Mytilus edulis: one gene and its partner. The main gene of each other region encodes a partner of the protein of the gene in region 2 in a complex. Links are inferred from orthologs where the notes say so. Each region holds a gene or a part of one and is shown on either strand. Other genes may lie near its edges.

What was found.
Region 1: nuclear pore complex protein Nup98-Nup96-like (region 2) and PCI domain-containing protein 2-like share a complex: the UniProt entries of both Drosophila melanogaster proteins name them as parts of the nuclear pore complex. The link is inferred for Mytilus edulis from reciprocal best matches to the Drosophila melanogaster genes Nup98-96 and PCID2.

What each region holds. Positions count from the first base shown.
Region 1 is NC_092346.1:45,879,903-45,887,529, forward strand, and holds the start of PCI domain-containing protein 2-like, read right to left. Parts: upstream 3,220-7,627; 5' UTR 3,123-3,219; coding exon 3,087-3,122; intron 464-3,086; coding exon 422-463; intron 1-421. Other genes in the region: trafficking protein particle complex subunit 14-like, read left to right, coding at 3,464-3,796, 7,201-7,420. UniProt on the Drosophila melanogaster protein: Required for the export of nuclear mRNAs and involved in mRNA trafficking in the cytoplasm.
Region 2 is NC_092351.1:7,551,187-7,558,859, reverse strand, and holds the start of nuclear pore complex protein Nup98-Nup96-like, read right to left. Parts: upstream 3,470-7,673; 5' UTR 3,381-3,469; intron 1-3,380. UniProt on the Drosophila melanogaster protein: Part of the nuclear pore complex (NPC). Required for MAD import as part of the Nup107-160 complex and required for nuclear export of Moe probably via its association with Rae1. Plays a role in nuclear mRNA export.

The DNA of each region.
Region 1 (7,627 bases), on a different chromosome or scaffold from region 2:
GAAACAACAATATCAAGTTTCATGAAATTGGGATAAGTCGTTCTCAAGTTACGGTGCAACATGTTTACGCCGGACAGACGGACGGACGCCGGACATTTGTATACCATAATATGTCCCGTCAAAATTTTGACAGGCGTATAAAAATTGACTAATTATTGATAACTTTAAATAATTTTTCTTCACATGCACACATGCAAAAACTAAAATGAAATTGAAAAGAAAAGAGTAATGAAAAACTTTAGCTAATGTGCAAAATAGGAAAAATACTTTTCTCATCTTGTCTAAATTTATTTATCAAAATCTATTTCACATTAACTTTTTTCATTTTCAACATGTTACATGTAAAAAAGGGACATATTCTGTTAACTATTGCTCAGAAATTGTTACAAAAATAGATTTACATCTAAAATCAATAACTTACTGCTGTTTTCAACCCATCTCTTTCTTGTAAGGCATCATCTAACTAAAAATAAAGATACTTTGTCATTATCTCTTATATTGAATATTCTAAGATGGTTACATATAAACTGTTTAACATTAGGCATGTTTGTGTAAAGCCAAAATTCTAAATAAATCTTTTCCAGCAACAAATCTTAATGTCATAAATGTGTGGTCACTAGAAGCAGTTGTGAGATAATCTATTGATCACTCTCTGATCCCTATTTTGAACCTTTTGTGTTTTCATTAGTTTTTCAATGCTTTGAAGCCAGGAATGAAGAACTATGAGGAAAAAAACCAACTGTATGGAAGCAAATTTAACTGACACTAGCATGACTAGCTATACAACTTATTAACATTTTTTTAAATATATGTAGAACATTTAAACATTTGGCAATTCATATGGGGACGAAGTCCCCTATTACAGTAGAAAAATCAATAAAAAATAAATCGGGAAAACCCTGAAATTTTCATTGTACTACTAAACTCAAAATCGTTCAAATTCTTTTTGTCCCTTTTTTTAATTCCCACATTTGCCCAGAATGCAGAAATCAACTTCCTTCTTCAGGTCTCGTTGTGTAGTCTAGTAAAATATTGGAACTCAAGGTACACAATACCAATATTTCATTTTTAATAATTCTTTGTCTTTGATATAAATGAACGTTACCTGATGCATTGCGTTTCTTTGTTTACATTGAACATGACGTCATAACTTAAATAACTCACAAGTAAAATCACTTACAACAGAACCAAAATCGGAAACGTTACAGTATTTACGTTTTTTTTTTTTTTTAACAAATATCTAAGTCACAAAAAAAATAATTCATACAGACTTCTTCCCCATTCACAGGTTATGCCTGCCTCATATTAACAGTCAGCTTACAGTGTCAGTTGTCAGTGATCATGGTGATGGTCAAGTAGTTTTTGTTCCATTTTTTAGAAAAAATTGTTGTCTTTTTGTTTAAGGTTCATCATAACAATTGGACAAATATGGCCGTATTTTCACCTCAAAAACTACTCTGTGTACAGACTTACCTGTGCTGTTTGGAAAGTTTTAATGCCTAGCATCCACTAGATATATAAAAGTTAAATGCATTTTGTGTTAAAGAAAGATAAAATCTTTTTTGGTTTTTGCTGGGCATTTTTTTCCTTTCTGCAGAAGGTGTAAAAATAAACAAACACCTGCATTACTTTGATACTGTCCACTCACTGACTCAGACGAACTCTTTATCTCAACTGCAGTTGTGAAGATACCTCTTGTCCATGCCAATTAAGAATCCGGGTCCGTCCGCCCTGATTCTGGTTCGCCCTAGTTTCTGTTCGCCCTAATACCTGTTCGCCTCGAGTCCGTTCGCCCTGATTTTATTTTTTAGTATAGTGTTGCGTTGTGTGTATATAATTGAATTTGGTGAAGTCAGTCTACAATTTGGTCGAATATTTACAATATTTTTAAATGTGAAACAACTGAAGACTTGTTGTCTTCAAGCTGCTACGAGGATAAGTTTCTGTGAATTCAAAGACTACAAAATATTTGACATAAAACAACTAAAGACTAAGTCTAAATTTAACTTTATTGATACATTTTAACAATATAAAAATATTCAGTAACAGTTATACAAGATCAATTCCGAACTGTACTTCGCACACCTTTATTTCCTAAACGAATATTTAAAAGCACTAATATGAATTACTATAAGTGAAACAAATACCAAAAACACAGTCACACTGCTGTACATTGATCACTTGTCATCAGTGTTTTTACCCATCCAAGCTGACTATTTTATTTGAGAAAAACGTTATTTTCATTATTAATCCATCAAAGACAATTCATATAACAATCAGTGATATCAAAGATTTCAAATGATACCTTATAATCAGCAATCAAAATTCAATCAACAGTAATTAAAAGTAATTATAAAATAAAGTGTAACAATGCAGCCAAGAACTTTATTTAATTAATATAAATTTGGCAAATATTCTGTATTTAACTTTTAATAGATATACATGAATTTCAATATATAAATATATATATATATTTCGTTCGTTAATGTAATATATACATATCATAAATAAAATGAATATAGGGCGAACGAACCCAGGGCGAACGGACTATCAGGGCTAACAGACTCAGTGCGAACGAACCTAGGGCGAACATGTAATCAGGACGAACAATCCCGATACCGCCAATTAAGGACAATCAAAACAATACAAACCGTTTTTTTACCTGAGGGAGCATCTCATAGTTGTACCACAACTTAGTCAATTTTCAGAACTTTTGCACGAAGGAAAAATCCAAAAGAGATTTTATCTTTCTGAAACACAAAATGCATTTAACTTTATTATATCTAGTTGATGCCAGGCATTAAAACTTTTCCAACTGCACAGGTAAGTCTGTACTCAGAGTAATTTTTGGCATGTAAATACAGCCATATTTGTCCGTTTGTTATGATGAACCTTAAATTGTTTAGCCATGTTTTTTATGTCTTGGACAACTTTGTCAGCACTTTGTCTTTCTTATATATTATATATCATGTATAATTTTTTACTCTTTCTTTTTTGTAAAAAAATTGTTTTCCAGTTTAAATATAAACAAGTATATTTTAAGGAGCAAAGTGATTTTTTTCATTTCCTATAAAACATAAACTTACTGTTTGAAAATACTGGTTCATTGACCAAGTTGCCATTTTCAATGGCCAATAAATGTTTACAGGGCTTAAAAATCAATGCAACCCATGTGAAAATTGAAACCGGAAGTTTTGATTTTACAAGGATAGTACTGAACAGATAGTATCCTCATACAGCTTCCCACGTCTTTGCGACCAATTTTGATAGTTGTTTTTGTGATACGGTGTTTTCTTTATGTATTCTTTATAAATAATTTAAAACTAGAAAAAGAAAATGAATCACAAATAACACAAATTTCAATTAATTGTATAGTCATAAATTAGACTTCCTGTCTCGGGAAAGGACTTCTTGATTGGTGCAATACCACTGTACTCTACGATTTTAGCAGACAGCACAGATCATGGAAGAAGATGCTGATCTTTCTAACATAATTTTGCATATATTTGAGAAGCAGAAACAAAATGGAAGTGATGTGCAATACAGTGACAAATTTAAGTGTGTAAATATTGGGAAAACGTATCTTGTTAATGTGATTGTTAATTTTCCTTCGTGTTTGAATGGGAACATTAATAAATGGAAAAAAAGAATTGAAAATCTTTATGGACACGTCAATTTCCACGTTGCAAAAAATATACCTAATATCGACGAAAATGAACTGTCTTACAATAAAAGTTACTTTTTGTGCAATGTGTTTAAAAGCACAGCTGACACAAAAACACATTTAAAACTACATGTAAGTTGATTTTCTAAAGTTGTAAGACCTACATGTATCAAAGAATCTTCAAATAAAATGGGCTGTCATATAAGTTTAATATCCAAAAACTTATTTGGACTAATTGGGAACAATTTCAAGTGTCTTATTGATTAGTATATATGTTCCAGACCGTATGAGTATTTGGACCGTACGCGTACGGTCTGGACTGTATGCGTACTTTTTCAAAATACGCATACGGTCGGACCGTACGGGTACGGTCTGACAGATATTAAGAAGTTGGTCAAGCTTATTAGATACAAATGTATATAACAGATCAACATGACTTATATCTCCAATTAATATAAAAAGTTCAACAGCATTTGACATAAAAACTTAATATTTTAACTATTTAAAAAGATCACGCTTATTTAATCTGTTAATCTCCTGTATTTTGCAGGCCAGTTATTCATTAATTGCAGCTCAGTATGCTCATTGAAATTGAAGATATCGGAAGTAAACATAATGTGGGAGGACAATTGTTTTAGAATATTTATGAACTTTACAAAAGAAATGCATACGCAAAGGAACATGCATTAACAAAACATGTAAATGTAAAAAATACGAAGTTCTTATTAGAAGCAAGTGTCACCTTCGGCCAGAGTAACAAAATATAATTCACGGATATACAATTAAGCAAATATTTAATTTCAATTGTTCGCTTATTCACTTTATCATCGGCCAGCTATTTTGTAATAATAACAATTTGTATAACTAAAAATAAAGATTTTGATAAATGTTTGTTTAAATTTAACCCACATGATCCCAAAACGTATGATCAGCTGGACCGTACGCGTATACTCATACGGTCCGACCGTACGCGTATGGTCGGACCGTACGAGTATACATATACGGTCCGGACCGTACGCGTACGGTCCAAATACTCATATGGTCTGGAACATATACAAAATGACAAACAACTTTAAGATGCAAAAATTTAGGTATCAGTGATTGTTTTTCAGAAAATAGTGATTTTCAGAGACAGAGGTTACAATCTCACAAATTATTCAAGTTCTGGATAAGTCTTTTGCAACTTTTTATTCATAGAGAAATACAAATTAATTTTTTCAATGAAATCTAATATTTCATGTATTTGGAATTATGCATCTTTTTAAAGAACAAATCTTTCCAGGTTTCACATTGTGTTTATTTATGCAAACAAGACCGGAAACGGAAGTAGATCTGAAAAAAAAAGTTAACGATTTTGAGTTCATTAGTAGTATAAAAAATTCGGGAAATATTCCCGAATTTTAGATTTTTTATAAATTTTTATTGATTTTTCTACCGTAATTGGGGACTTCGTCTCCATATAATGGTTATATTTATTAACATATTTTATATTCATTTGGTAAATACAATTAATTATATAAAAAATAGTCTTTGTCTGGATCCTTAATATAGTTTGTATCAAAAACAAGAAGTTTTGTTAAAAGTATTATTAACCAACTAAGTGCATTATTGCCAAAAGTGACTGTTTATTAAAAATTACATATTTTCTGTAATGGCCCTGTTTTTTTCTGTAATGGCCCTGTTTTTCTGTAATGGCCCTGTTTTTTCTGTAATGGCCCTGTTTTTCTGTAATGGCCCTGTTTTTTCTGTAATGGCCCTGTTTTTCTGTAATGGCCCTGTTTTGTCTGTAATGGCCCTGTTTTTCTGTAATGGCCCTGTATTAATGCCCAGTTTGTCTGTATTAAGCCCTGTTAGGGTTTTTAATAAAGTTAATAAAACTAAGTTGTAAAGAGTATAATACCTTTTTGTATTTTATTCAATTTAGTAACCAGCAACCAACATTAAAAAACCATATAAAGGGATCACTGTTCATCCTGTTTTTTAACACATATCTCTTTCAACTTAATATCTTGGATATTTGGTACATTTAAAGCTTTATAATGGTGAAGTACAAATTATTTTGTTCAAACTAAATTGTCATTAAAAGAGTAAGACAGTACATCAAGTTAGCACAAACACATACACTTTTGATCAGTTGGTTAATAAATGTATTAAGAAATGAGTGTTTTTATAATGGCCCTGTTATATGTCCTCGGTCAGTAATAATTGCCTCGGATGTCTGTAATAGCCCTCGGCGTTGCCTCGGGCCATTACAGACTTCCTCAACCATTATTACAGACCTTGGACATATAACAGGGCTATTATAAAAACACCCATTCATTAATACTATAATAATCTATGGCTTAAAGAAACACATTAGAGAAAACTCAAGATTGATCAGAAAGAAACATAAAAAAAACTTTGTTATTTTGGTAAAAGTGTTAGCTCCTGCTGCACTAGTTGCCTTTTCCATGTTGCTCAGATAAATTCAGCTACTTTAGTCAATAATATGAGGCAGGCATTACCTGTAAATGGGGACGAAGTCTGTATGAATTATTTTTTTGTAACTTAAATATTTGTTTTAAAAAAAAGAAACGGAAATACCGTAACGTTTCCGATTTTGGTTCTGTTGTTAGGGATTTAGTTGTGACGTTATTTAAATTATGACGTCATATGCAATGTAAACAAAGAAACGCTATCATCAGGTAACGTTTTTTCATATCAAGGAATTATTAAAAATGAAATTGGTATTGCGCGTTCCTTCCTATTTTATACTAGACTAATAAATATATATTTTACTCAAAGTTTCATACAAACGAGACTGGAAAAAGGAAGTACATTGTACATTTCTGCGCAGGTCCGGGATTTCAAAACATGACAAAAAAAATTTGAACGATTTTGAGTTCATTAGTACAATGAAAAATTCGGGAAATTTTCCCGTATTTTTTTTTATTGAATTTTCTACTGTTATTGGGGACTCTGTCCCCATATAAACATTCATGGACTGGCTCCAACCATCAATATAGGTGTTTTCTATGGAAATCATTAGGGAATGTTATAAAATGATTGATTGTCATTTGATAAGTGTCCAGTGGTATTGTTAAAAAATGTATTAAAGAAGTAAATACTAGAATTCCTCATGAATTCCGAACAAATTACCAAAGTTTATATAGATCTATTATCAGTGATTTTATGTTGTGTAGTTGCTTTCTTATTCATGTTATTGAAGCTTTAAAATACCATACATGCGTTGTGAATTTTCCTTCATTTTTGGGAGAAAAAATATATATTAAAAGAAAATGTGGAAAACATACAATTAATGTACATAATGTGATATTTTATACAAAATATCAAGCACATGTTCAAATGTGTATATGTCATGTATGTGTCTTGTGAAGAATGAAGATAGATATATAAATTACACATTTCAACCAAAACCACTATTGCTGCATTGTAATTTTGAGCTATTGACCTTGATCAATGTTAAATGCAGTTAAAAACACATGCTAATGTGAGTTATTTTGAACTCACTTTACTTTATTGTTTTCTAATTTCAGGAGAAGAAGCCTTATTTTGTTGATGACAAAACATTTATTGTTCCATTGGAAGCAACAGTAAATAATATTTCATCGTGCGATACAAAAATTTATTTGACAGTGTCCATTGTCAAGCCAATACCTTGCCCAAAGAGAATGTTAGGAGAAAGTGATTTCTTGTTGAAGGTTGATGACATTAAACCTTTACCAGAGAAAGAAAAGATTTATACTCAAAAGTCAGGTATTTGATTTTTAATAATAATACTTTATTTAAAAGCAAAACAGGCTAAAGATTAAACATTTTTACATTAGATTTTCAATGCATCAGCGTCATATTAATTACAACAGTTACATACACATATATGGTACAATAATCAAATGATCTCACAAAAATAATTTTTAAGCACACAACGTTTCCATTAGCCATCTATAGGAACAAAAGACAAAC
Region 2 (7,673 bases):
TCCATATTATTGTTTTGATCTCTCTGTTGGTCCATTCAAAGCATGTTCCATATTATTGTTTTGATCTCTCTGTTGGTCCATTCAAAGCACGTTCTTATTATTGTTTTGATCTCTCTGTTGGTCCATTCAAAGCATTTCTTATCATTGTTTTGATCTCTCTGTTGGTCCATTCAAAGCATTTCTTATTATTGTTTTGATCTCTCTGTTGGTCCATTCAAAGCATTTCTTATTATTGTTTTGATCTCTCTGTTGGTCCATTCAAAGCATTTCTTATTATTGTTTTGATATCTCTGTTGGTCCATTTAAAGCACGTTCTTATTATTGTTTTGATATCTCTGTTGGTCCATTTAAAGCACGTTCTTATTATTGTTTTGATCTCTCTGTTGGTCCATTCAAAGCACGCTTAACCTGGTTGTATAAACTCTTTACTTTTTCTTATTATTATTTTGATCTCTCTGTTAACTTGGTCCATTCAAAGCACGTTCCACCTGGTTGTCAGAATCGTGGGTGAAATATGTTTTGTTATTTTAAAATAACATGTTGTAATATTTCTTGAAAGTAATTCCATCATTCAGTATTGTATGGTACAATATTTGTTTTTTAAAAGATCATCAATATAATTAAAATATAGATCTCTGATTTCGTTACACTACATAATGTAATATAACGAAATTAGATATATATATTTTAGTTAGATTCAAAGAACACCTCTTTATCAAGGCATTTGTCAACTTCAATCATATTGTCCCTTTTATTTCATCTTTGATTGATATATTTTCAATGTTTGGTGGATTAGTTGTAAATATAAAGTATATATCTAAACTATTGGTTATTTTGCTGTTTGTGATAGACTTTCTTCACTGAAGTGATTCTATGAACTTTTTACTATAATTATTGGGTTTCAAGTTGTCTTTCCTTGAACCTCGCCTGTGTTTCCCATAAAATATATGGCATGTTGAAATCTCCAGTGTCAGAGTGCTAAGTTTAGTAGATTGTCAAAGGGGTATCAAAGAAATGTGTAAAAGCCATCAATGAACTATTTTTTTTTCCAGGTACTAGTATTAAGATGTTTACTGCCTTGATATCAACTTAGTTTGATTCCAGTATATTTACAGTCAGTGACGAGTGTTTCCAGCTATATAGGGTTAAAACTCCACCACCTTCATGTTCATACTTTAAACAATACAATACTTCAAAATATTTGTATCGAAGATTTCAGCACTTGATTTGGTTTATTATCTAAGTGTGTTCGTATGCCTGTATTATATGAGGTTCGTGCATTTCTATTAAGTGTAGTAAATTCTTTCTTTTTGCAGAATGTTCAATCTCCAGCTTTTCGATAGACACACCTATTTTGTTCACATCCATTCTTCCAATAACATCCACATTTAGAAGAAAAAAACCATTGTTCATCCCAAATGGAGGAGTTGCAGACAGTTTGACTGCTTGTCGAAAGATCTGAAATTGTCAATTAACACAGCTGACGGACTCCAAAACTGGGAATCAGTGGCTTCAAACTAATATTTCATATTTTCATCTGATGAAAATAGGGTTGTATTTACTTGTTTTCATCACATTTCCGCATTAAAAAATACTTCATACCTACATTAAACAAATATTTACTTTTTATTTGATTTTTGTCGAGCCTTCGACTTTAGTCGAAAAAGCAAGACTAAGCGATCCTACATTCCGTCGTCGTCAGCGTCGTCGTCGTCGGCGGCGTCCACAAATATTCACTCTGTGGTTAAAGTTTTTGAAATTTTAATAACTTTCTTAAACTATACTGAATTTCTACCAAACTTGGACAGAAGCTTGTTTATGATCATAAGATAGTATTCAGAAGTAAATTTTGTAAAAATAAAATTCCTTTTTTTTCCGTATTCTATTTATAAATGGACTTAGTTTTTCTGCGAGGAAACATTACATTCACTCGGTGGTTAAAGTTTTTAAAATTTTAATAACTTTCATAAACTATCCTTGATTTGTACCAAACTTGGACAGAAGCTTGTTTATGATCATAAGATAGTATCAAGAAGAAAATTTTGTAAAAATAAATTTCCACTTTTCCGTATTTTACTAATAATGGACTTAGTTTTTCTGCGAGGAAACATTACATTCACTCTGTGGTTAAAGTTTTAAAATTTTAATAACTTTCATAAACTATCCTTGATTTGTACCAAACTTGGACAGAAGCTTGTTTATGATCATAAGATAGTATCAAGAAGAAAATTGTGTATCTTATGATCGTTGCGTCACTGTCTATATATATTTGATATAATAGGTTTATACTGTTCAGTAATTGCTATAGAAGCACTGTAATAAAAAAAAAAAAAACGTAGTTTCGAACAGGATAATAATAAGTGCCTGTTTTGTCTTTGTGTGACTTTTAGGAATAATGTTTTAAAAATTCTTCTTATTTTTTCCTGGTTCGATACATGTTATGTTACATTTAATTTTCCCTCAATTATTAGAACTTTTGTGAGTAAGTTTGCTCTTGATCTAAAGACATAAGTATTAAAACAAAGCCTAATTGAGCCTCAAACTTGTTGAGTGAAGACTTTTTTTTTATAGAATTTTTGAATAAAAAAATACTTTTATTTGCAAATTCACTGGATTTAATCAGGGAATTTGTATAACATGTATAAAAGATCTTAAATATTTCAGTGATTTTGTAAAATCCCGACTACGGTCAAAATCATTGATTTGATAAAATCACTTATCAGTTTGACAGTGATTATACAAAATCACTGAAATTTCAGGAATTAAAAAAAATCCCTGAATTTACAAATTGACCGTATCATATATATATATACCTGAAATTTGTCTCATGGTAATTTGTAACAGTTTTAGAGAGATCCATATTCTTAAACACGAGTTATTGTCTGGAAACTAAAAAATGCTTGGTTTTGGCCCTTTTTGGGCCCTTAATTCCCGCATGAAAATTCAGCCAAATCTGTTTAAGAGGATATAAAAACACTTATTTATTCCAATGACCACGAACCTTGTGCTTCCAAAGTTTTTTTTTACTATATATATCTGTCCACCTATTTCAGTCTCCGATATGCCTACTGAAAATTGTTTCAGATGTATATGTTTTGTTAACCTGTTAACCCGGCCTCGCCCGGTTCAGGTCAAATCATTTAACTGTCTTCACTTACAAAACATTACAATATTGTTCATACATATTTCTGTTATTATTTACAGTGAAGATCTAAAGTTATATTTTGATATGATTAACATACATTCCAAAGTTACAAACAACTTAATAGCATGGACTATTGCCGTTTCAAAAGTAGAATTCCCGAAAACTGATTCAACAGTTGTTATATATAACGATATCTACAAAAAATGATCTGATTATTAGGAAATATACAACTCACCTTAATAAAATTGAATTCAGATAAACGAGCTTTCGTACTAGAACAATAAGGTCCGAATGTCGAACCCAACAAATAATATTTGTTTATAGACACATATTATAGTGATTTTCTATTAATAGAAAAGGGAAAATACAGTGTTTACCTGTTTAAACCAGTTTTAACGGAGTGAAGTTAGAATTGACCAGTGAGAATGTGGAAAAACGCCCCTTTAAGCACATTTAGCCACGCCTTGTTACGCCTATCAGTTAAATATGATTTATTTTTAGTAAAGGGAATTTTATTCTGTTCTGGTTTTCTCTAGATGTATCCATTTACTTTAGCAACAGTTCTTTTCTCTGACTTTTACTCCCAAGGCTTGCATTATTAATGCGTTCGATAAATCAACGTTTAACACACAGTCACTTCTCCGTATTCTTTTCAGAGACCGTGTCTGTGATGTAACACAGTATCAAAATCGGCAACCAAAAATAGCAACGGAAATATTACAAGTTTTCTTATAGACTAAAACAATAAATATTTCATGATTTGACATTATGCACGTCCTTCAGTGGACTTCAGTATAGCTCAATTTATTAAAGTATACACGAGACCAAACGTTGCTTTTTGTGTGTGTTTTGTTGTTGTTGTACATTAACTGGTTTTGCGTCATGTTTTTATTTCAATAGATATAGTGTTCACCCCAAAAAGTAAAATCTACGGAAACGTCCACAAATAGTAATCTTTTTAAAATGGCCGGGTAATTAAGATATGTTACAGACATTCATTTCTTTAAAAAATAAAGAATGGTTTTTATAAACAGTTACATGTATGGATTATAGCAAATTTGTTGTGAATATTTAAAGAAATCAAACGTTGTCATTTTGAACCTAGGATTAACATTTAACTTTTTTAAACCAGTTACACGTACTAGCGGATTTATATTATTTATTATTTGGATCCTTTATAAAAAGGTTTTTAGAACATAGTGCAGGGGACTCATAGTCTTTTCAACTTCATTTGATGGTACTTTTGTTGTAAGAGCTAATAGTATTTGTCGTGGTGAAGTCAGAACCCCTGAGTTTTTAAACGGGACGTATTATGGTATATCGTTGTCTGTCCGGCCGTCCGTCGTCAGTATGTCTGAAAATAACTCTGAAAAACACATACTAGTAAACAATTAACACGAAACTTCGGTGAATTGATTATATCTGTAGGACTCAAATCTATGGTGAGTTCCAAATCTATGGCAAATGTGACGTCATGCCATCCAAAATCTATGGCAGATTTTTTACAATCCTAATCTATGCCGGGCAATTGAGGTATGATTGACCTGACAATATAAAATGTAAATGACCCTTACCTTCACCAAGTCCGTGATGTCACTCCATTCCAAGATGTGAATAAAATGACAGGTGATTATAAAACAATTGGTAAAACATTCTTGGGCTTTACACTGCTTGAAAGATTTATATGTTTTCTTTAGAATGAGCCATAAATGAAAATTTTTATAGGCCCAGAAATTATTAAAAAAAATAATTAAAGTAAATTCAATTGACCTAGACTTATTTTTGCATCAATTACATTTTATAATAAACAAGAAATAATAGTAACAGGATAATGTTACGAAGTCTTCCAAACAGAGCTTCCATAATTCGTCATTCTCATGGTCGCCTGACATTGGGCAAAGTCCAGTACAAATTGGTTAGGTCTAGTAAAATGATATGCCTATGTGACGTCTAGGAAATTGACCCTGTATGTCATTCAAATTTTCTTGAAATGACAAACAGCAATAAATATGGTAAAGGGGTGGGTATCTCACCGTTTACAAGTTCTCAAAAAAAGAGGGGGGAGTGATCCCCAGTGGACTCGCTCTTTATTTCATTTGATTTAGTTTATTGTCCCATACAAGACATACAAGAATATATATGGTTTCGGGGTGTGGATCTTAACCGTTTACAAGTTTTCAAAAAGAAGGGGGGTTGACCCCCATGATACCCCCTATATTTCATTTGATTTGTTTTATTGTCACATACCAGAATATATGTGGTGTATGGGCGGGGATCTCGACCGTTTACAAGTTCTCAAACAGAAGGGGGTGGGTGACCCCAGTGACTCCACTATATTTCATTTGACTTGTTATCTTGTCCCATAGATGAATATATATATAGTATATGGTTAAGGGGTAAGTATCGCACCTTTTACAAGTTCTCAAAAAAGAGGGGGGTTTTATAACATCAGAATACTAATAGCTTACGTTTCGTGTAAGTTAAAATTACCGCCGACTTGGACAACTATATATAACTTTATTTCCTCTATCATATAGAGATTTGGTGACACCGTGTACATGCATGAACAATATTCCTGTGCCTTTTGCCATTTGGGAAATGTAAACGACTTGTAATTAGAGATTTTCGGCGATGAAATATTTCATACAATTGTTCTTTGACATCTTAGCCAAAAGCACATAGGATAATAAACTACGAACGGATTTCTATTGAGCACTACTTCTTATGTGCAACTTCAAATTTTTTGGTAGTTCGACGATCATTTAAGGTTTTTCTGGTCATATGTATTGCATTCCAGAATTGAAAGTATGAAAAAAGTGCCAAATTAGTTATTCTAATAACATATTAACCAGCCAGATAATAACAATAGCACTTTTAACACCATTCAGTGGGAAGAACACAAATTTATCTATAGGATGGTAGCATAAGGCAGCTTAACTGCTTAAAAAACGCTTTAGTCTGTTGTTTTTTTTGTGGAATAAAAGCATTGTAAGGCTAAATACAACATTTATAAACAAAAAATCATGAATGTCGGATTAATAATATCTTTCATTCTCTAATACTAACACACCTTGTACATATAGCCTTGAATATTAAACTCAAACTGTTATATGATCTTATATCACGTCTTGTCAGAAAGGAAGTCTGTTTGTTTATATTTTTTTTATCATATTCACTTGAAATAAAGTGGTCAAACTCGAAAAAAAACGATCAAATCACTCGAAAAACCACGATCCTAGCCGGACACTATACCTACCGTGATTATGAGCAACAGGACGGGTGCCCCATGTGAAACAGGGTCTGCTAACCCCCATTTTGATGGGGTTCGTGTTGCTTAGTCTTTATTTTTCCATGTTGTGTTTTGTGTACTATTGTTTGTTTTTGTTTTTGTTTTTTAGCCATGGCGTTGTCAGTTTATTTTCGATTTGTGAATTTGAATGTCCCTCTAGTATCTTTCGCCCCTCTTTTATAAATACAAAACTTTATTTTTTTTCTTAATGATTCTCGTAGGATTTTTCACGTGGGTTTTCATTAAGATTTGTTAATTTTTAGAGTTTTTCTTATTTCTAAAGATAGTTCAGACTGTCCCTGATTTCTAAGACTTTTTGCCCGGTTAATAAATGAAATGAAATTTAAAAAGATTTAATTTTAAGACCAAGTTAACATAATGTTTGTTCCAATTATTTTGCTTAGTAATTTTTTCCAGTATGTAGATGATTGATGGTTGGTTGCTTAACGAAAATTGTACATTGATATTTCCTACCAAATCAAATCAAATCAAATCAAATCGTATTATTGGTGTAAAATCTAAATATTGGATTGTTACCAAGACAAACATGACAATCATTACAAACATACAATATTTAGATTTAAACAACATTCATATCATATAAGACTCCATATTTAGATGTTTTTGGAGGAGGTGATGTAATTGTTATAAAATATATCATAACAAATAGGCCTACTATAAGAAAAATATAAAATAGTCATAACTTTGTTACATCGACTAGTTTTTCGTATCAGCTAGGCTATTTCTTTGCAACAAATGAATGCTCAATATTCAACCAATTTAAAACATAAATCCCTATACAATAATTTCAGTTACGTCATACTCATTAAATGTAAACACAAATGCAATTTTTTCCTTATCAGACATTTGGGTGAAATCTGGAACTATACTCTCTACTTCCTGAAAAAGTTTTTGCCTACATCCTTCTAAAATTTGACGTTTTAAAGCAAAATGATATGATATTCATCTTCTACCTCCTATTTACAGAGAGGACATAATCTTTTTTCCAAAGGTAATTTACGGTGTCTACCCTGTTCAATATGTAGATGACTTATTTTTATAAAATTTGATATCATGTATCGATCTAAATCTATTAATACAAACAGTTCTAATTTGAATTCTTTTTTTAATTTTCTGCGTGTTCTTAGTTTGTTTCCATTAGGGTTATTTTGGTCGTTAAAAAACTGTCTTTCCAGAAATCTGTATACTTTTCAGCTATTTTTTACCTACAGCATTAAT